Linked DNA regions of Arabidopsis thaliana. The protein of the gene in region 2 interacts with the protein of the main gene of each other region in a pairwise test. Each region holds a gene or a part of one and is shown on either strand. Other genes may lie near its edges.

The links. The genes of interacting proteins can lie anywhere in the genome.
Region 1: the proteins of AGL103 (region 2) and AGL92 interact in a two-hybrid assay, tested with the Arabidopsis thaliana proteins (one large-scale study listed by BioGRID).
Region 3: the proteins of AGL103 (region 2) and LBD38 interact in a two-hybrid assay, tested with the Arabidopsis thaliana proteins (one large-scale study listed by BioGRID).

Annotation. Positions count from the first base shown.
Region 1 is NC_003070.9:11,320,222-11,327,867, reverse strand, and holds AGL92 (AGAMOUS-like 92), read left to right. Parts: upstream 1-3,691; coding exon 3,692-4,949; intron 4,950-5,039; coding exon 5,040-5,176; downstream 5,177-7,646. Other genes in the region: ROPGEF14 (RHO guanyl-nucleotide exchange factor 14), read left to right, coding at 1-33, 108-182, 269-538, 615-965, 1,038-1,394. UniProt on the Arabidopsis thaliana protein: Putative transcription factor.
Region 2 is NC_003074.8:6,416,559-6,423,921, reverse strand, and holds AGL103 (AGAMOUS-like 103), read left to right. Parts: upstream 1-5,417; coding exon 5,418-6,578; downstream 6,579-7,363. Other genes in the region: PGSIP1 (plant glycogenin-like starch initiation protein 1), read left to right, coding at 1,963-2,039, 2,128-2,364, 2,485-3,104, 3,210-3,982, 4,439-4,711. UniProt on the Arabidopsis thaliana protein: Probable transcription factor that may function in the maintenance of the proper function of the central cell in pollen tube attraction.
Region 3 is NC_003074.8:18,510,473-18,518,601, reverse strand, and holds LBD38 (LOB domain-containing protein 38), read right to left. Parts: upstream 4,337-8,129; 5' UTR 4,138-4,336; coding exon 3,954-4,137; intron 3,860-3,953; coding exon 3,300-3,859; 3' UTR 2,471-3,299; downstream 1-2,470. Other genes in the region: AT3G49930 (C2H2 and C2HC zinc fingers superfamily protein), read right to left, coding at 7,709-8,129.

The DNA of each region.
Region 1 (7,646 bases), on a different chromosome or scaffold from region 2:
AAGCAAAATGATGCCAATGGAAGATCACTTGAGGTACGTAGCTAAGGTGTTAAAATAAATAGATATACTCCAGAGGAAGAAACTGAGCTGAATCCTTGTTTTAACAGATAATGACTCCGAAAGCCCGCGCAGACATTCATATGAATCTCCCAGCTCTTCAGAAGTTGGACTCAATGCTAATTGTGAGCGGATTATCTCTTTTGTTAATCTTGTCTTTTCTTATTCTTCTATTTCCTGATCTGATTAAAGTTGCATTACAACTCCACAGGAGACACTGGATTCTATGGTGAACACAGAGTTTTGGTATTCTGAGATTGGTAGTAGAGCTGAAGGGAAGAACAAGAGTACAAGTGAGAGCAAACGATGGTGGCTTCCATCGCCACAAGTGCCTAAACCTGGACTCTCTAACTCAGGAAGGAAGAAATTGCTTGACAAAGGAAAAGTTGTTTATCAAGTCTTCAAAGCTACAAAAGCCATAAACGAAAACATTCTTCTTGAAATGCCAGTTCCCATTGTTATCAAGGAAGCAATACCTAAAGTAAGCTTGCACTCTTTATTATCCCTTGTGATAGTCATAATTATACAACTACCTCTAAAATCTTGTTTTGTAACAGTCTGGAAAGAACAGCCTCGGTGATGAACTGTACAAGATGTTGGCTGTGGAATCTGCAACAGTAGATGAAATCTTTATATCGCTCAATCTGGGAACCGAACATGCAGCACTCGAGACAGTTAACAAGTTAGAATCTGCTATGTTTGCTTGGAAAGAAAGGATTACAGAACAAGGCAGCAATGGTAAATCCCCTGTAAGAGCATCGTGGTCATTCGCTAAAGATCCGTTGTCTGAAATTGGTCGCAATGAGTCACTCTTGAACCGAGCAGAAGCGCTTAGAACTCAGATCAAATCCAAACACCCTAATCTCCCTCACTCGTTTCTTGATGCTACAAAGATCCAATATGACAAGGTATAAATAAACAAAACTAACTACATCTTTCTTAGTCCAATGGTCTGAAACATCTTTCTTCTCTGTGTTCAGGACATAGGTCATGCGGTTCTCGAAGCATATTCCCGAACACTTGCGAATCTAGCTTTCCGGATTCTTTCAAGAATGGGAGAAATCTTGAAAGAAGATTCTTTAAGCAACCCTAACTCTCCTGCACCACCGAGTTGCTTCCCTAGCTCCCGTGACCCTTATAGGACACCTGAGAGACCTCTGCTTTCGTCCCGTGTAAGGCATTCTTTAACCGATGACATGAACAAAGCCGATGGGACAGAGACTGGTTTAGATTTTTTGTTTGCAGATGCTAAGGCAAGTAATTCAGTGAATACAACTCCAAGTAGAAGCAGTAGACTGTGGTGTTTGAGTAAAGTGCCTTCTGATACTTCTCCTTGATTTAGAGGGTCTTCCTAGTTCGATGCGTGCCACCTGAAGCTTCTCCTTTACTTTGAAGGTTTTAAATTATGAAGCCTGAGATGTTGTAAATGTATTAACATATTGCAGTTAAAGTACGAATTCATACAATTTTGTTCATAACTTCACGGTGAAAAGCAAATTTTTAATCCGGGAAAAAAAATTGATACGATTGATTATGATTAAATTTATTAGTCTCTTCCAGAAAATACTTTACAAAATAAGGTATATTCAAAACAAAAATGTCCAAAACCATAATCTATTTATAATATACTAGACTAGAATCATTTTAATTACTACTTTCTTGAAATCTAATTTGAATCTCAATTAGGTTACTATCCCGACTTCCATCTTTGAATGAAGCATTAGCTGTCATCTCGACAAATGATCAACTAACAGGTATTTTCACCAAGCCACTATCTTTTGCACACTTCCATTAAGTCACTAGCAAGATTGGAGTATAAGAAGTCTTCATTTAGAAGGGATCTATCTTGGTTGGATATGTACATATTATGGGCTTAAGGATAATTTGAAATTAGCACAAAGCCTTAATGAGTTTCCGTTTGTACATACTACCTAATAAGTATAACAAAATGGCAAGCTTCACTTCGTCTATCATCCCGACACTAATGAGGTTTTTTGGGTTGGATTTAAGTTCAACTGTGCCATCCGATACTAACACAAAATATTGTTAAAGGCCAATTATGCTTACTAACTCAAAGAAAATCGAACAGACCATAATTGTTTTCAATATAGCAAGTATAGAGATCAAATGGATCTTGATTACCAAAAAACTGTTCTTGTAAAAAATTTCATATACATATAACTCAATAAGGACCTATAACTTTTCAAAAGATTATTTTACCATATTTAAAAAATCTTTAACTAAACTTTTGAACATGACCTATATATATAGTTCAAACATCCTAACTAGACATATAAATAAAAATGAAAATTATTGGAGGGTCTTAATAAGATACTCCCCCATTATAATCATAACTAAAAAAAAATTTAAGATAGAAAGAAGAGAAAATTTCTCAAATAAGAACTTTGGGTATACTAACTAGAACTTTACAATTGTCTCTTTTTAATTGTTCATTTTTATTTTTAAATTAAAATTATTAAAAATATTAAGACTTTAAAAGTTGGGATACTTTTTTGGGATATGTGAAAACCATTGGAAGTGCTCTAAACCTCTTGTCAAATTTCTAGTTTCAAATATTTACAGCTCATAATTAGCTGGCAGTACAATGAATATTTTAACCAAATTAAGAAAAATATATGCTCCAAAAGGTATAATATATGCATGAATTCATAATTTATCTCTAAAATAACTGATTTTCTTTTATATCCAATCATGATTTTACACGTGTACATTAATTGATACGTTTTAATGTCATAAATAGTCATATTAGTGTATAAGTCAAAAGATGGAAAAAATCCATATATATTATTATATTAATGTATAAAGACAGTTTTACCCTTATTTCCTTTTAATTAAAATCAACTTATTGACTAAACAAAATTAGATGGACCTTCTGGCCATGGCAGATTTTTTAAAAATATTTTATTAAAAATTTAATTCATATAACTAAATCTGTGATTTTAATATTTTATAAGGAAAAATTTCTTTATTACTTTATTATTATTTTTTATATTTTATTATTGTAAAGATAAATTTTTATACATATAAAAGAGCATTTTTTATATATTAAAACATGATAGAAATTTTAATGATATTTATTATTTTATTATATTGGTTTACAAACTTTTTTCTATGTAGGCTTCCTTTAATGTCTACATATTTCAAAATTTTCGCTCGTTCTAAATATTTCGTAAGACACGTTAATTCTTTCCCGAAATAATTTTACTATAGATAAACAAAGTTCCTAAGCTTTTATATATTCATGATTTTACATGGAAATTAAGCTGTAAAACTCTATTCGAAAAGAAAAGAAAAACACTTAAAATATTAGAAATTTTCACAGTTTATCAAAGCTTAATATTACTCTTAAAAGAAAAGTGAGTAATATACGAAGATAAACTATATTTAGTAAAGAGAAAAGAGAATCCAATCTTAGTCATAGCTTTAATTAGTGGCCTAATCAATTAATAAGACAGTAGCCAAAAGATTTAATGCTGTAACTACAAATTAATGAGTCCAGAAACGTGATAAGCCACACCCTGAGTAAAAAATCACCCTTTTCGTTGCTATATAAACAGTCTTGGGCCAAGAAACTAAACAAACACAAACACCAAAGAAAAGAAAAATAAAGATAATGAGGACGAAGACTAAGTTAGTACTCATACCTGATAGACACTTTCGGAGAGCCACATTCAGGAAGAGGAATGCAGGGATAAGGAAGAAACTCCACGAGCTGACAACTCTCTGTGACATCAAAGCATGTGCGGTAATCTACAGTCCGTTCGAGAATCCAACGGTGTGGCCGTCAACCGAAGGTGTTCAAGAGGTGATTTCGGAGTTCATGGAGAAGCCGGCGACAGAACGGTCCAAGACGATGATGAGTCATGAGACTTTCTTGCGGGACCAAATCACCAAAGAACAAAACAAACTAGAGAGTCTACGTCGTGAAAACCGAGAAACTCAGCTTAAGCATTTTATGTTTGATTGCGTTGGAGGCAAGATGAGTGAGCAACAGTATGGTGCAAGGGACCTTCAAGATTTAAGTCTTTTTACTGATCAATATCTTAATCAGCTTAATGCCAGGAAGAAGTTCCTTACAGAATATGGTGAGTCTTCTTCTTCTGTTCCTCCTCTGTTTGATGTTGCGGGTGCCAATCCTCCTGTTGTTGCAGATCAAGCTGCGGTAACTGTTCCTCCTTTGTTTGCTGTTGCGGGTGCCAATCTTCCTGTTGTTGCTGATCAAGCTGCGGTAACTGTTCCTCCTCTGTTTGCTGTTGCGGGTGCCAATCTTCCTGTTGTTGCAGATCAAGCTGCGGTTAATGTTCCTACTGGATTTCATAACATGAATGTGAACCAGAATCAGTATGAGCCGGTTCAGCCCTATGTCCCTACTGGTTTTAGTGATCATATTCAATATCAGAATATGAACTTCAATCAAAACCAACAAGAGCCGGTTCATTACCAGGCTCTTGCTGTTGCGGGTGCCGGTCTTCCTATGACTCAGAATCAGTATGAGCCCGTTCACTACCAGAGTCTTGCTGTCGCGGGTGGCGGTCTTCCTATGAGTCAGTTGCAGTATGAGCCGGTTCAGCCTTATATCCCTACTGTTTTTAGTGATAATGTTCAATATCAGCATATGAATTTGTATCAAAATCAACAAGAGCCGGTTCACTACCAAGCTCTTGGTGTTGCAGGTGCCGGTCTTCCTATGAATCAGAATCAGTATGAGCCGGTTCAGCCCTATGTCCCTACTGGTTTTAGTGATCATTTTCAGTTTGAGAATATGAATTTGAATCAAAATCAACAGGAGCCGGTTCAATACCAAGCTCCTGTTGATTTTAATCATCAGATTCAACAAGGAAACTATGATATGAATTTGAACCAGAATATGAGTTTGGATCCAAATCAGTATCCGTTTCAAAATGATCCATTCATGAATATGTTGACAGAATATCCTTATGAATAAGCGGGTTATGTTGGAGAGCATGCACACATCCCTTTCATGGACGGAAACTACTACAACTACCACCAGCCACCAACCGTTGGTCTTACTTCCACCGGTCACATGCCTTCCACCACCACCACCACCACCAACAACAACAACAACAACAATGTGTGATGTGTTTCAGTAGTGTGCATTTTGTGTTTTGTTTGTTTTAAAAGACCAGTATTTAATTATGCTTTTCCTTTTCAATTAGTTGTTGTAAGAGTTGAAGGTTTTACCTTTAAGTCAGTTCTATTTCAATGAAGTCATTTCTGTTTGGTCACAAATTATTTTTTACGAGCTTTTTGTTCTTAAAATGCATAACTAAATAGATCTGCCAAAATCAGATAGGATTTTGTTTCCAAAAAACATCAATACTTTTCAAGCCTTCATTATGGTTAAATACTTATATGATTAAATATTTTGAAGAGAGTTCAGGACGGAAGTTGTATATATAGGAGGAGAAGTACCATTGAGTATATATACGAGGAGAACCATTGTTGAAATTGGTCGCAGTGAATCACTCTTGAACCGAAAAGAAGCGCTTAGAAATCAGATCAAATCCAAACACTCTAATCTTCCTCACTCGTTTCTTAATGCCACAAAGATCCAATATGGCAATGTAAACATAAACAGAACTAATTACATCTTTCTTAGTTTATGTTCTGAAACATGTCATACTTTACAATACAATTATTTGTCGATATTAAATCCTTCTTCTTTGTTTTCAGGACATTGGTCATGCATGGGCTTCTTGAAGCATATTCCCGAACACTTGCGAATCTTGCTTTCTGGATTCTTTCAAGAATGGGAGAAATCTTGAAAGAGTTATAACTCCCTTGCACCACCGAGTAGCATCCTTAGCTCATGTGACCCTAAAGAGCACCCCAAAGGCCTTTGCTTTGGTCCCGTGTAAGGCCTCTCCGATGGGACAGAGACTGGTTTTCTATTTTTTGTTTGCAGTTGCTAAGGCAGGTAATTCAGTGAATACAACTCCAAGTAGAAGCAGTAGACTGTGGTGTTTAAGTAAAGTGCCTTCTGATACTTCTCCTTGATTTAGAGGGTCTTCCTAGTTCGATGCGTGCCACCTGAAGCTTCTCCTTTAAAAACCGTTTTAAAGACTGTATTAAGATTGAATATGGTTAAATTGATTTGGCTCTTCTGAAAATTTTAAATAAAAAGCTGAGATATTAAGAAAATAAGGTATATTTTAGGATATGCATATATTATGGGCCTAAGGTAATTTGAAATTAACACAAGCCTTAATGTATCTCTATCTGTACCTATCACCTACTAAGTATTCATTAAGATTTTTTTTTAGAAAAATGGCTTCCTAGCGTTCTATTTCAACTATAGGCTTCACTTCGTGTATCATCCCAACACTGACGAGGTTTTTTGGGTTGGATTCAAGTGTGTACTTCAACTAAGAACATATTTTTGGTGACCAGTTATGCTTACTACAACGTTCAGATAAGATCGACTATACCTTGAATTGTTTTAGTATGTGTAAATTAAATACATAGATTAAACGGATCGTGATTACCAAAAAAAGTTCTTATGTATATATATGGACCTTATTTAAGATATCTATAGTTAAACTTTTGAACATGACCTATAACTATAAGTAGCTTAAGTCGCCCCTAACTAAACATATAAATAAACATGAAAATTAGTGTTTTATGGCAGATGAAAGTTATTTATTATCTGAGCCAAAAATATACGGTGAGCTTGAAATAAAATTTAGCATTTAAAGAGAATGGAAATTAAACTACTACTGGATTGAATTATTTACCATTCTCTCATGTAATATCTTCTACTCTATAGTATTTTTATAACTATTTGAAAACATTTAATCAAAAATCAATAAATATGCTATTTATTTTAGAGAAATTTCTACATTTTGTAAATGTAATTGATAAGAAGAGAACCAGTCAAACAAAGTCTAATTAACGATGTGCATTCTTGTTTTTCTTATTTTTTGGTTATTGTTAGACCTCCATTTTTTTTGGATTCTCTCTCATTATAATCATACCACACAAAAAAAGTATGAGAGAAATAAGAGAAAGGTTCTTAAATAAGAACTTTTGGTATATTAACTTGAACTTTGGGTATATTACACTTGTCTTTTTTTAATTGGTTCATTTTTTGCTTTTAAACCAAAAATTAATATATAATTAAACTATATTTAAATATTAATACTTTAAAGTTTAGATATTTCTTTGGGTATGTAAAAACAACTGGAAGTTTTCTATACGTAGTCTAAAATCTTTAATTTCCCTATTTACAGCTTATAATTAGCTGGCAATGCAATGAAATATTCTAACCCAATAAAAGAAAAAGTATTCTCCAAAAGGTATAATATATGCATGATTTAACAAATTATCTCTAAACTAATTTATTACTGAGCCAAAAGAGGAAAGAAATCCATCTATTAATGTATAAAACAGTTATTTTATCCAAATTTCCTTTTAATTAGAATCAACTTAATGATTAAAAAAAATCAGGTGGACCTGCAGGCCATGACAAATGTTCTTTTAATATATTTATTAAAAAAGTTCATATAACCAAATCTGAGATTTAAAAAAATATATTTTTCTCTAATACT
Region 2 (7,363 bases):
ATAATTCTCTCTTCCATATGCAACCACTATATAATAGATTTTTTTAATAAAAAAAAATTATCTACTAGAGCAATTCCCATACGTACTTGTTTACGAAAAAGGTACTAACTGGCTCACTAAAATTAACGTTGATATTTCGATGAACCATTTTTTTTCGATTCAAAAACATATATTGCTATATTCGTGCATGTGTTTTTAAATATCTAGACTTAAACTACAATTGTTAGAACTTTGATCTAAGTTATTGGTTTGCAAACTACTACTGTAAGGATACTTTGAACTTTTTAGTGTTAGTTTGATATTGTTTCTATGTAACAAAATTTCTTCACCTATTATATATGTATATGTTTATTTTGTTGGAGTTTCATAAGTCTAAAGTAAAATATTCAGGGGAAAAAAAAAACTATTTGGTGAAAGTGTTTGTCCTTGGAAAGGAAAGATGTACAAGATACGAAAATACCTTTGCTTCGCTTTGCTTCCAATACACTGCCATTTGTCAACAACATGCTCAATCGAAAATTCGAACGTACGTAAATGTGTATGTGGGTGAAGATTATTACGGCCCGAACATAACTCATGTTCAGTATTGGGATTTTTATTTCTAGACTAATACTAAATATTTCGAATAATAATTGTGATCAATAATATATTTTGAATCATACGTAGCGATGGTTGCAAGGGTCTTATCAGAAGCAAAGTTGGTCTCTAGAGTCCCCACCTTCTCCTATGTGCAATTTAGCTACTCCTTCAGTCCTCTGATTGACACATGTTCCCACCTGTCTTTGTTTTTCCAAGTCTTAATGAAGCTTAGAAGTTAATTAATTAAATCATTTTAACCTTGCACCATCTCTCGGATCTTATTAATTATGCATATTATTATTCCTTCATCTAAACCATATAATATTTCCTCACATATACGAGTTTCTTTTACTTTATTAGATTCTGAATTATTATCAAAATTAAGAAAATTAAGTAAAATAAAAAATGTGAACATTTAATATTTTGTTGAATTTTGTAATCTGGATCATATGCTCAAATGTACATAACCCATTTTCTTTATAAAAAAAAGTCAAAAACTAATATTTCGAATAATCAATAAATAAATACAAATTCAAAACACAAGTTTGGTGGAAGCAGTTCTTGAAAAGACCTCCGAACTTTGCAAATTGCAAGCGAAGTTTGAATCAATGTATTGAGCTTACCTGTATTTTTCCAAAAAAAAGAGGCTTACCTGTCTTGCTATGTTACCTTATCTTCACCTTACTTTGCCACCAAGGTTTTAAACGTTGTACATTAGTATTGTCAATTGTTAATAGTAACGGTTGCTTTGTTACTAAGATACTTTCATCTTTGATGAATACTATTCATGAAGAAGTATATTATTGTTAACTAATCATAGTTATTCATGGATGCATGCGTACATCATTTTACCTTTCTCCAGCTGTACAATATGTACATGCAATAAAACATAGTAATATATTTCTTTCCACTATATATATATATTGAATTCAATGACTTAAAACCTTTCAAAAAAATATTTTTGCTTATATAATCAAGTGAGTTATTGGTAAAGTGTATCTTTATTTTGAAAAAAAAACTCATTATTTTGAAAATAAATTATGGTTCTCTTTACAAAGAAATGATCAAAGTTTGGTGGACATATATATGTCAATCATAAGAGAGTCACAAACTGAGAATGGAGTTTAAACTAAAGAGCTACAATATTATCCACAATTTAAAACATTTTATTAAAATCACGATAACTTCAAAAAGAGAAAATCAAAAATTAACTTTGTTAAAAAGGTGGGTATGAAAAATACAATTTTCTTATTTCCTAACAAAAACAAAAATAGAAACAAAGGAAATGTGATATAAGAAGATTAAAAGAGACGTTATGTCTCACCTATATTTGCTCTCTCCTCTTCCTTGTCCAATTCTACTGTCCCAATCCATCAGTTTTATATGGCAAACTCTCCCGCTGCTCCTGCACCCACCACCACAACCGGTGGTGACTCCCGGCGACGCCTCTCCGCGTCCATGTAAGTGTATAGTATAATACTCTCTAAGTAATGATTAAAAAAATCTGAACAAAATCGTCTAATTGTGGCTTTGTGTGTGTTTAAGCAGAGAAGCAATATGCAAGAGGAGATTCCGGAGAAATAGCAAAGGAGGTGGCAGATCGGATATGGTGAAACCGTTTAATATCATAAATTTTTCGACACAAGACAAAAACAGTAGTTGTTGTTGTTTCACCAAGTTTCAGATCGTGAAGCTTCTCTTGTTTATCCTTCTCTCTGCCACTCTCTTCACCATTATCTATTCTCCTGAAGCTTATCATCATTCTCTTTCCCACTCATCTTCTCGGTAAATCTATTTCTTTTTTCCATCACCAACATTTACATTCTTGACCTCAAAAATGTTCACATGCAAATTTTTACTTTTGCCTCTATCTCTTATAATACTATCTTAAAATTATGAAATTAGATGGATATGGAGAAGACAAGATCCACGTTACTTCTCGGATCTGGATATAAACTGGGACGATGTGACTAAAACCCTTGAGAACATCGAAGAAGGCCGTACGATCGGTGTCTTGAATTTTGATTCGAACGAGATCCAACGATGGAGAGAAGTATCCAAGAGCAAGGACAATGGGGATGAAGAAAAAGTTGTTGTATTGAATCTAGATTACGCAGACAAGAATGTGACTTGGGACGCACTATATCCAGAGTGGATCGATGAGGAGCAAGAAACAGAGGTCCCTGTTTGTCCTAATATCCCGAACATTAAGGTACCTACAAGAAGACTCGATCTGATCGTCGTGAAACTTCCTTGTCGGAAAGAAGGGAATTGGTCGAGAGACGTCGGGAGATTGCATCTACAGCTAGCGGCTGCAACTGTGGCGGCTTCGGCCAAAGGGTTTTTCAGGGGACATGTGTTTTTTGTATCTAGATGCTTTCCGATTCCGAATCTTTTCCGGTGTAAAGATCTTGTGTCTCGGAGAGGCGATGTTTGGTTGTACAAACCTAATCTTGATACCTTGAGAGACAAGCTTCAGCTGCCTGTAGGGTCTTGTGAGCTATCTCTTCCTCTTGGCATCCAAGGTAGAATAAAAATGACTCCCGAAATTACTTGTTTAGATTTGAAAACAAATTTGAAAAATCGTCGCTAAGTTAACTAGTGTCTGTTTTCTTCCATGAATTTTACAGATAGGCCAAGCTTAGGAAACCCTAAAAGAGAAGCTTACGCAACAATTCTTCACTCAGCTCACGTTTACGTCTGCGGTGCAATCGCCGCGGCTCAGAGCATAAGACAGTCTGGTTCGACGAGAGACCTTGTTATCCTTGTTGATGACAACATCAGCGGTTACCACCGGAGTGGACTAGAAGCCGCGGGTTGGCAAATCCGGACGATACAGAGGATTCGAAACCCTAAGGCAGAGAAAGATGCTTACAACGAATGGAACTACAGCAAGTTCCGGCTATGGCAGCTGACTGATTACGACAAAATCATTTTCATCGACGCGGATCTCTTAATCTTGAGAAACATCGATTTCTTGTTCTCGATGCCTGAGATCTCAGCTACAGGAAACAATGGAACTCTGTTTAATTCAGGAGTTATGGTGATCGAGCCTTGCAACTGTACGTTTCAGCTTCTGATGGAACATATAAACGAGATTGAGTCTTATAACGGTGGAGATCAAGGTTACTTAAACGAGGTATTCACATGGTGGCACCGGATTCCAAAACATATGAATTTCTTGAAGCATTTTTGGATTGGCGATGAAGATGACGCGAAACGCAAGAAAACAGAGCTTTTTGGAGCAGAGCCTCCTGTTCTTTATGTTCTTCATTACCTTGGGATGAAGCCGTGGTTATGTTACCGTGACTACGACTGTAACTTCAACTCCGACATATTCGTTGAGTTTGCTACCGATATCGCTCATCGAAAATGGTGGATGGTCCACGACGCCATGCCACAGGTGATTCACTCTCTCCTAAAAACCTTAATAGAACTCAAAAATCACATAATATTTTCAATCTCATATTGTGATCAATATTCAAAATATTATTAGGCGTTTAGTCATGCGTTGAGAGACTAACTGCATAGCATTATTTCTTTCTCAAAAATTTCCAAAACTTGAAAAAATAAATAAACTAAAAATTACTTACTACCCAAGTTTAGAATAACCATATGAAATTTGAATATACGAAAATCTTGGTGGGTTAGTAAATGCAGAATTAGCCCCCTACGCAGTAGGCATCAAGTTTTAATGTCTATGTTTTATACACCTTATAAAAAAATCATTTCAAATTTTCTTTCTTTATGATTAGTTTAAAAAAACATTGGTTGGCAGAAATATAAAAATAGTTAGACGTTTTCCCAAATTATTCTAAAATTGTGACGGTTAGTAATTACCATATATGATATTTTGCAGGAACTTCACCAATTCTGTTACTTGCGATCCAAGCAAAAGGCACAGCTGGAATATGATCGCCGGCAAGCAGAGGCCGCAAATTATGCCGACGGTCATTGGAAAATAAGAGTAAAGGACCCGAGATTCAAAATTTGCATCGACAAATTATGTAATTGGAAAAGTATGCTGCGGCATTGGGGCGAATCAAATTGGACTGACTACGAGTCTTTTGTTCCCACCCCACCAGCCATTACCGTAGACCGGAGATCATCACTTCCCGGCCATAACTTGTGACGCAATAATTATACATACTTATTAATGGATTTCATGAGTTTTTTGGTTTGAATTGTTGCTGCGAGATTAGGTGAATATCAGTTGTGTAACTATATCTTTTTCCTATAGTTTGTTCAAATTGAATAAAACATTTTTTTGCAGTTTAACCACAAAATAAAACATATGTCGTATTTATATGCCATTTTTGTATACAAACACAAACTCAAAAATGTTAGTAACATTCAAATAGTTTATACAGAAACGATAGATTATAGACTTACATATAGCCAAACAACACAAATTAATTGATGTAACTAAACATATGTAGTATAATTAAACTTTCGAAAAATCCAAATTTTTAGTCGAATCGCAGTGTAGTATGTATACATTACGTATAGTATATAAATCTATGTGTGTGTATATCAGTGTATGTATTTGTGTATGTATGTACATGTGAAAAGAATCTCTACTAAAGATTTCCATAATATTCAACCAAAAACCAAAGTTTTCCTTATTAGTAAAACTACACCTTCGTTAAACATATAAATTGATTCTATGAGAAAAAAGTATATTAAAAAAGGCAATGAAATCTTCACCGCTTTCATTATTGATTCGTCATTAATTACCGAGCGAGACCAAAAATAGAAATTCTCGAACTAAGGGTTTTATATATTCGCAAACAATGATCACCACCTCTTCATTCAATTCACAGAGAATATACACAACCATGGCTTCTTCTTCGTCCTCTTCTCTTTCGTTTTCAACATCGAAGAAGAACAAAACCTTTTTCAAGAAACCTAATTCTGCTTTTTCTTCTTCGAGGGCCACAAGTTTGATCAAAAGACAACAGACTGTCTTTAAGAAAGCTAAAGAGCTTTCAATTCTCTGTGACATCGATGTCTGCGTCATCTGTTACGGATCAAACGGAGAGCTTAAGACATGGCCTGAAGAGAGAGAGAAGGTCAAAGCCATAGCTCGAAGGTACGGTGAATTAAGCGAGACGAAGCGTCGCAAAGGAAGCGTTGATCTTCACGAGTTCCTCGAGAAGATGAACAAGGATGATCCCGAGAAGGAGGAGAAGAAGAAGATTAAAGTGAGACGTGTACCCAAAGTCAAGTATCCAGTTTGGGACCCTAGGTTTGACAATTACTCTGTGGAGCAACTCATGGGACTGGTTCAGTCCTTGGAACGAAACCTAACCAGGATCCAACATAGGACTTGCGCTGTTGTTGAAGCTCAGGGGCAGAGGAGGGTACAGTACACGAACATGGCTAATCAAGAACTGATGATGGCTAATACGATGAATCAACTTCAACAACACTCAAACCAGGTTTCCATGTATCTGTGGAACCATGGAAACGGTGCTTTCTCACAAATCCCAGTCTCAGCATTGGCTTCAAACCAAACGCAATCTCTAGCTCCGATTCCGCCTGAACTGATGATTTACCCGAATTCGGATGCGGGAAATTACTCGGGGTCTCTCGGGGTACAAGGAACTGGGATCAATGGGCTTCAGAACATGAACATGTTAACCTATAACAACATCAACAGCGTTAATGATTTCTCAAAACAGTTTGACCAGAATTCCAGAGCGGAAAGTTACTCTAGCTTACTTGGGGTACACGAAGACGGAAACAATGAGTTTGAGAACCCTAACATGTCCAGCCGCAACAACTTCAATGTTCAAGACTGTGCAGGGTTACTTGGGATGCAAGGAGCTGGAACTAACGGGTTGCAGAGCATGAACATGCATGACTACAGTAACAACAACAGCATTAACTCTAATGGTCTTTCGCATCAGTATGTTCAATTTCCAACGTACAACAGCCAACATCAGGACCGGGTTTTCAATTTGGATCAAAACGGAAACAATACTAGGTCTCTCTAAGATCTATCACAATCTCTCTTATAGCTTCATAATTTTTGGTTTTTAATATCTCCTAGTTATATAACTAAGAAGCATATATATTTATAACTTTTGGTTAGTGCAATTATCAGTTTGAGACAGTATATCGATCTCCAAGTTTTCGATTATGTCTACTTTTATTTATTAGTGTAATGTGACTAAAAGACTAATAATGTCTCCCATGCTAGTGACTCTTTTCTTATACTACTTCTTTTTTTTGTTATCCTGAGATTCTTTTGTTTGTTATATTTATTGCTGAGAATTAAGACTAGTAATGTCTCCCATGTTAGTGACACTTTTCCTATACTTCCTCTTTTGTTATTCTGAGATTTTTTTTGGTTTGTTATACTTATTGCCGAGAATTTGATTATACGATTAATGTTTGATGAATAAAAAAACCCTAGGCAAGCTTTTAAGTTTTAAGACGGGTAAAGTAAAACACAATCAGAAATTACTTAAGCTAAAAAAATACTTTAGCAGCTCTCTCCAATCATATGTCCTCGCATTAAAAAGGGAAAAAGGTCAAAGAAATGAAAAATAGAAAAAAGTACAAAAGATCCAACTGGACAATAAAGTGTTGTGTTCGGCTTATTTAAGAAATAATCAACGGGTGAGATTAAAAGGATTTTAGTCAACGGTTGGATTTAAACTGAAGAGTACTTACCTTCAAGTGGGACCTATTAACCACACAGAAGCAAAACCTAAGCGAAAGAATTGTATTTTTTTTTTTTTTTGTGTGCGAGTCTTTTAATTTACTTCTCCGAAAA
Region 3 (8,129 bases), about 12 Mb from region 2:
TCTAGTTACTTATTACAACATGAAAAATGATTTAGTCAAAGATAAGAAGCTATTGTAGGACCCAATAGGTGAAAGAGTGGATTATGTGTTCCAGCGATGAGGGAACCAGTCACGTGAAAGTCACGTGTCGCATCCATTTCACGTCCTTGTCGCGATCTCTCCCAAATCTTCAACACTGATCCTTTCTAGCTCCTCCAAAGTCTCGTTTAAATTTACAAAAAACAGCCTTCGCAAAGGATTATGATTAGCACTTGATTATCTTAGTGACGTTCTCATTAATAATCATACTATAAAACTTGAATCAATCCGACATTAGAAGAGTCGATAAAGATCAAAGACTAGAGTTATCTTATTTTTATATTTTATTTGTTAAACTCTATTTTTGCTTTAAGAAAAGAATATCCTAATTAAGTGTAAATGAATGTACGGCCAACAAAAGATTTGAAGGGGCAAGATGGCTCTTGGGTCCTCACCTTACTCGAAGAATGATCACACAAAACCCTAAGAACCACAAAAAATGTAGACCAAGCTAAGTCTTATGATCATCTATATTAATAACAAAATCAATCGTTAGAAATTAGATAGTGATATTGATCCACAAGAAACTTATTCGATAAACTCTTGAATAGCAAAAGACTTGAGAAAACTAAAAGCAAGAAACAAACAATTGAGATTGTTTTTTAAAGAGGTTCATATACAAAATCTCTGGGGATAATCGGGACATGATGACATTCAGTTACAAAAATTTCCAAATATGTGTTGTAGAAATTAATATATCACTTTTTTTTCTTTTTTTGAATCATTGTAATGTAAAATTTATTAAAAAGTCTTTGGTTACAATATATGCAGCTTTAAGCATAACGTTTTTTGAGTTTCAGAAAATTAATATATCACTTTGTATAGTAATGTACGAAAAAATTCATCAAGAACTATGTACGGTTACATATCAAGATGTTATGGTCTAATGTGTGTTTACCGGTTGATAAAATGTTATTTGGTAGCTAATATTCAGCTAACCCTAGTTTTTGTTTTATTTGAGAGTCAGATAATCATGTATATATAACTTTTGCAAAAATAAAAATTGAAATAATGAGAAAATATTACTTTACTATTATCATTCATATATATATAACACACCAAAAAAAAAATCATATATATATATATATATATCCAAAAACAAATCACTTACTTAATTCTGTATTTTATCCAGAATCATTATGAATTAACACACCAAAAAAAAATCATATATATATATATATATATATCCAAAAAAAATCACTTACTTAATTCTGTATTTTATCCAGAATCATTATGAATACCAACTTGATTTTGATGGTCTTAATTAATTATTTGATATTCTATTTTTTTGTCGTTATTTGATATTCTATTTAGATTGACTAGTTTTCTTGTGATCATTTGATAATCCACGTCGTTTTGTTTTCACCTTCAAATTTTTTTATTGATCACCATGTTTTTTGGAATACACAAAGTAGTAAATGTTTCATAATCATGTGAGACCTAGGGTTTTAATTTTCAACTTGATTATTTAAGTTTAGTTATTCCTTACTAATTTAACTACCATTTTCTTGACATTCATACCAAAGACAAATAATTAACTAAAGTTTTGTTCGTTTTCGGAAGAAAAGTTTAAGAAAACATCAAGTGGACTCACACACACCGACTTAAGTGGAGAAGGTGATGAAAGTATTGGGCCCATAAGAAACTGCGGCTGCTCGTGGCTTTTGGCATTAAACACGAATCTTGCTAATGTTATTTTATTCTCATTATACTTGATGGATTCATGTTTATCCATCCATATTGTTATATTGTATTCCCCAAATTTTTAAAAAGCGAATTCGTCTAGTATAGTTAGCTCCATAGTTTAAAAGTAGAAAAAGAAATTTAGCTCCATAAATTTTGTAACTCATGATTAGACACTAATTAGATGTAAAAAACAGACGAGATTGAACGAATGATGATACCCGGTTGTTGATAAAACTTGAAATGGTCAGAACTAAAAACTTATATTTTTCAAAAATAACATAAAGAGTCCGGTGGTCGGAAAAGGAAAGGAGAGTGACGTGGACCACAAGCAATTGTTTGCCCACTAGTGACTGGCTGGTCGAAAGTATATTTAAAATATGTCCCACTTCATAAGATCTTCAAATCACTTCTTCTGTTCCAACAACAATCCATTCTCATTTCAACGTTTCAAAAGCAAACATGTTATTGGTCAATTTCATTGTTTCTACGCCATCATCCATAGAGCAACAATACCTTGTTGTTTTTATTAAACAAAATGTGAAGAAGAATAGAAGAACAATAAAAAAAGAGTGCTTTTGAAGATTCCACGAAGGTATGAAGTGTGACATAAACGGCTCTTTGCGTCGTCCAAAAGCCGCCTCCCCCAAAAGCTTTCCCTTTATAACCCCAACTTTTTGGGTTCAACCCAACTACATGCATTATATAATGCATATCTACTCTATACATACAATTACTTATATTATGTAATGCACCTTGTTTAATCTTTTTTAGAGTTTGTATTCATCCGGAGAATGTGTGGTAGACTAATCTTAAACATAGAAAGAAACACATGAAGATGTACATATGCCATTGAGAGTGTTGCGAAGAAGACCGTTGCAGTACTAGTATAGGATAATTTGAGATATCACAAAAAGATCATCACATCTCGAGGAATACGTACTATTGTGTTATACTATTACTAGGTATCATTAAACCATTGAATAACAAATGTAGTATCGAAAGACAATAAACCTGGAGATAATAAATGCTAATATTTTGTTTTGCGAGTAGTAATCAAGATGATTATCAAAATAGCAAGTTGTGTATGATTGTGTGTACATTACAACATGTTGGTCCTTAAAGAATCGAAATATGTTGGGTGCGAAGACTTTGCCGGTGCTTTGGATTTGGAGAGATGTATATTTTGACTCCGATTCGTGATTATTATTATTAATGTTGAATATGTCGATAAAAACAAATAATTTAGTAGCTAATAAGTATTGATTTATCGTACACATTATCATTGTTATCTTTTAATTTGAATTCGATGAGAATGATGATTAATTGATTATGAACTAAAAATAAAATAGTACACCACCGACGAATTATATCATTATTCTCTATTACTTTGGATAATTTCTCATAATTAAAGAGAGAAATAAATCACGTAATTTGCTACATTTCACAAAATATTAAGGGCTATTAATCCAAAAAAGGCCACAACAAAAAGTTACTCGAAATTACATTTTTAACCCTCATAACAAAAACGACGCCGTTCAAGCGAAGAGATTGAGCAACTTTGTCGTTGCTCCTCCTCCTCCTCCGCCGCAGCGTACGTACCGATCACCGGCGTTGTTGTTTTGAAACGAAACCGTGGTAACAGACTCCTCCGAGTACATCGACGGTGTATCTTCCTTAAACGGCAAGGTTTTAATCGGATAAATAGGAATAAGAGAGAGATCAAGCTCCGACGAAGGTTGTTGTTCCGACGATAATCGTTTCCGTTTCGGCGGAGAAGCTGTTGATCTTGATCTAGATCTAGAGCTTGAGAATCGGCAGTGATGATAAATGTTCCGATCACCGGAATCATCAGCTTTTCGTAGATTCAACATTTCCGTACAGATCTCCGAAGCTTCGTCGGAAGTAGGAGACGGAAACCCGGCGAATCCACCGCCGTTAAGAAGCTCCGGTATTGGTTTTAAAGAACCACCACGAAGCACCGTCTCAACCGCCGCTTGACAAACATTCCAATTCCCCGTCCACAACAATCCGACGGCTCCGTTCACCGGATTCACAGTTCTCCCACAAGCTTCGTATAGCAAAGACTGAAACAAAGCTGTAAAAAGACCAAATACCCTTACCATCAGAAACCAAAACGACAACGTTTAGACGAAGATCTAAAGGACCGAGAGGTTTTTGTTTTTAAGTACCAGGGCATTGAGATTCCGGTACGGCGGAGATGAAAGACATTAAACCGGCACGGCCGAAGAACTTAGCGACGAAGACGGTGGCGTGGCCTTGAGCTTCAGGTGATTCGATCCATTGAATACATGGACGGAGGATGCAATTCTCACTGCAACCTTTTCGTAGAACTCGACAACCATTGCAACTCATTATTTTCAGAAATCTTTTAAGTTAGTATTTTATCTTTGGTTTTGCTATAATCTTGGAGATTCAAAAAGCTTTTGGTACAAGAAAGAGAAAGAGAGAGAGTGGGACAAAGTGTTTCAATGTTTGGTTGAAGAAGAAGAGTTATGTAATATTTATAGACAATAGACATTGATACTTGAGTGAAGGAATGGGTCATGGCTTTGAGATTTTATTATATTTTAATAAAAATTGGATAATAATCAAAGTTTAAAGAGCCCTACCAAATTACAAAATAGAATGATTGCTACAAAATATATTTATTTTATCATTAACTGAATTTAATTTATGCTATAGTTTATACAAAAAAAAATGTTATGTTAGGTTTAATTATGAAAGTTAAAAATGGTGTGTGGTTGTTGACTAGTTGGTGATGAGGAGAGAGGAAGAAAGAGAGATTCCAAGGTGATGGGTGCGAACGGCTCCGTGTCCCCGCGAATAGTTGCCTCCTCAACCATTGGTTCTTTTTTTCTTTCTTTATAAATTTCTCATTTCTATTCTTTTTCATATTCTTTACTTGCTTCATTTCTATATAAATGTTTGCGTCATGCATGAACGATCTCGATTATTTGATGGCAGATCTCAATTCTATCTATCCAGTGTTTATTCGTTGACAAATTTTTCGAATCTTCATGTCTCAAACAAAAATCAGTGTGATTAACATATATTATCGATTATCGGTGTAAAGAAAAGAAAAAAACCTAGCTTCTCATCTAACAACAACAAAAAAAACACATAGATTCTCAAATGAAATAACGCACTTCAATTTCAAAATTGAGATTTATAACTAATTAGATCATATTCTCTCTAGTTCGCTATTATTTGTTGAGCTATATAAGTGCCTCTCTTAAACTATTGGTCTCTATGAGTTTTATAAATATAGATATGGTTCATTCGTTCATGCAGTACGTATACTTTGTAAACAATTTATTTATGAAACCAATGAGATTGTTTTGTTTAGGGTTAAGGCTAAGCTGACCCTTCAACGAAACAAATCCACTACCTGACCCTTAAATCAACCTTAAGGGTTTTGATAATTTAATATGAAAAATGTTTTAGAAGAAAGATAGAGGCGTTTTTTTGCCTACGATGCTGTCTCACGTGTGTGACCAAATCAAACATTTCTTTTCTCCTTTACATTAGCTAGTAACAAAATCAAATATATGATGAACAGAAGATCTACAACAAAATGATATTAATAAGTCAAAGTGTCTTCTTCTACTTTCCTATAGCAATGCGGTGAAACGGCGCCGTTCATGGCTTACGTGGTGTGCTTACCTACACTCCAATTAGGCAAATTTTCCACTGAATGCCGCCGTCTCTTTATATTTCTTTATTCCCAATTACTTCAGTCCATTAGTAATTTAAAAATGCATTATTGTTTCGTTGAACTTCTGGTACCTAAAGTTCATTTGCTTAATTAGTCGACACAAGACACTTGAACGCGACAGTTTTGATCAACAACGACATAAAATTGGTGTTAAACAGATGCTTAGATGTTCGATAAATCAACTACTTATTTTTACAACGGTATTCCTATTTTAAATATCAATCTTATAACATAATTTCAATCTCAATTTTTGAAAATTAGTATTGTTTTGTGGCCCTTCTTCCAAAAATTTATTTTCTGAAGTGAATGCAACAAGATAGATTTTACCTTTATATATTTAGTAAAATCAATGTTATAAAATAGATTATAAGTTAGACGTACGGCAGAACACAATAGAAAAAATATTATATATACTTCAATGTTTATGATGTACAGTGGGAAGTCATATTGCATACAATAGAAAAACCAAAACTATTTCTTTGAAAACAGAACAAAAACAATGTATGAGACTTGTAAACTATTGAGAAGAAATGAAAGAAATTGTCAAATAGAGGTTGCACAAATTGCATTCCTACTTACATTCATTGATGTTCATTATATTATGCTATAAAACCTAATTACATGGTTAGATAAGGTGGGTTTGTGGACTTGTATTTCATGAGTCTATGGACTTGTGTTGGGCTTTAACATGTCCTCTTTCACGTTGAGTTCTAAATGATTAAATACTGGGCTGTTAATTGGGATATAATTTCTCAGCTATAAGAGCCGGTACACTATGTCACTATGGGCTCTACTGCATTTTTCGTATGGTCCAAAGTCCAAACAATGAGTCTTTGGTAAATTAATAGTTTAACACCACTTTAACGGTACCATGCCAAAACTAATTTGGATGTTATTGTAACGCTCGAGGGCCTTATTAGGCCTTATTACAAGCTAATAAGCTATATACTATGCCCACAAAAATTGGTGAAATTCTTTAGTTTCTAAGTTTCTAGCAATATAAGAAGACAATAGTACAAAGAGAATGAATGACCAAATCTTACAGACTTATAACACAAGCATTAGGTTATAGCCTAATAGGTAATGTAAGATGTAAGTATAAGCAGTAAGCTGCACGACATATTTTCCGTCTTATTTAGCAAGGTATTATTATTATTTTTTCCCACACCATTTTAGATTTAAAATTTTTGCTTTTGTCTTTTCAAAGCCAAATCTTAATTTGACGAAAAGTTTATACCGAACCGCATAATATCACATATATAAACAACATTTTTAAGGGATGAGTTTTCTGAACTCTAAATAAAAATCGGTTGACAAGAAAAAAACAAATCTTAAAATAATTCCAAAAATTCTTAACCATCAGATACTACAATATAGTTATAAAGAATAATTATAAGTCAATTTTTTGTGCCACCAAAAAAACAATATTTTCCCGGCATTTAATTCAGAAAATACCCAATATCCATATTTTTCTCGGAATGTATAACTACTCTTTTTCTTAGAAGATACATAAGAACTGGGATCGATTAAGACGTGTAAGATATTTATCGTAACAAATTATACAATTAATTAATTATTAAAAGACTCGTAAAACTCGTGAAAACGAAATAATACAGAATTATAAAAATAATTTAAGCGTGGAGGGAAGTGTGAGTGCCAACCAATCAAAGTCGACAAGCCACTTAAGGATTAGCTTCGTTAGGTACTACTAACCGATCTATCACTACTTCAATAATTAATACTAACATAACCCAAAATTAATACTATTTCTCCTATCAAATTATGTTTTTAAATAGAAATCTGAAATGTTTAATCAAATAGTTAAATTCTTAGGAACAGATCACTTCAAGCTGGGAGTGACAGATTCAAAGAAGTGGTTCCTTTGCTTGCGGAAATAGTAAATGAAAAATTAATCAAGTAATGAAGAAAAACAACAGTAGGAAGTTTCCATGAAATAGTAGTTTTCAATTTTCATTAATCCAATTCTTTTTATTATTAACAAAATTAATAATAATTTCAAATATATCCTTTTTTTTTTTTACTTTTTATAAACAAAAACCAACAACGAATAAACATTTGAAGATTATTTTCTTTCCATATACGTAAACAGAAATTAAAATAATCCAAAGTCCACTCCAATCATTTTCATTACAGACTCAGCTAATGATCAACCACTAGCTAATCCCGATCGGTAAAAAATAATAATAATCACAACACCGACTTTGTTTCTTCACCGGAGAGTTGACTTTTTCCAATTGTCTCATCACTAACTTGATCAGCCGGTAAATTTAGGTCAAACTTGTGGCTATTGTCACCGTTACTGTTACCGTTACCACCATCATAGTGACAACGTTTGTGACCACCCAATGCTTGACCAGAGGGAAACGACTTAAAACATATAGAGCAGTTATGAGTCTTCCCACTTTGACCAACTAAACCGTTACTAATATTTCCGTTATTAGTAACGGTTCCGTTACTATTATTAACATCGACACTAACCGGTTTCCGGTGACTTGTTTTGTGTCCACCTAACGCTTGGTAAGACGGGAAAGATTTGCCACAGACGGAACACTTGTAATCTTTCTGATGATCGGACAGTGGAGAAAGAGAGTGATGATCCGACGGTGGA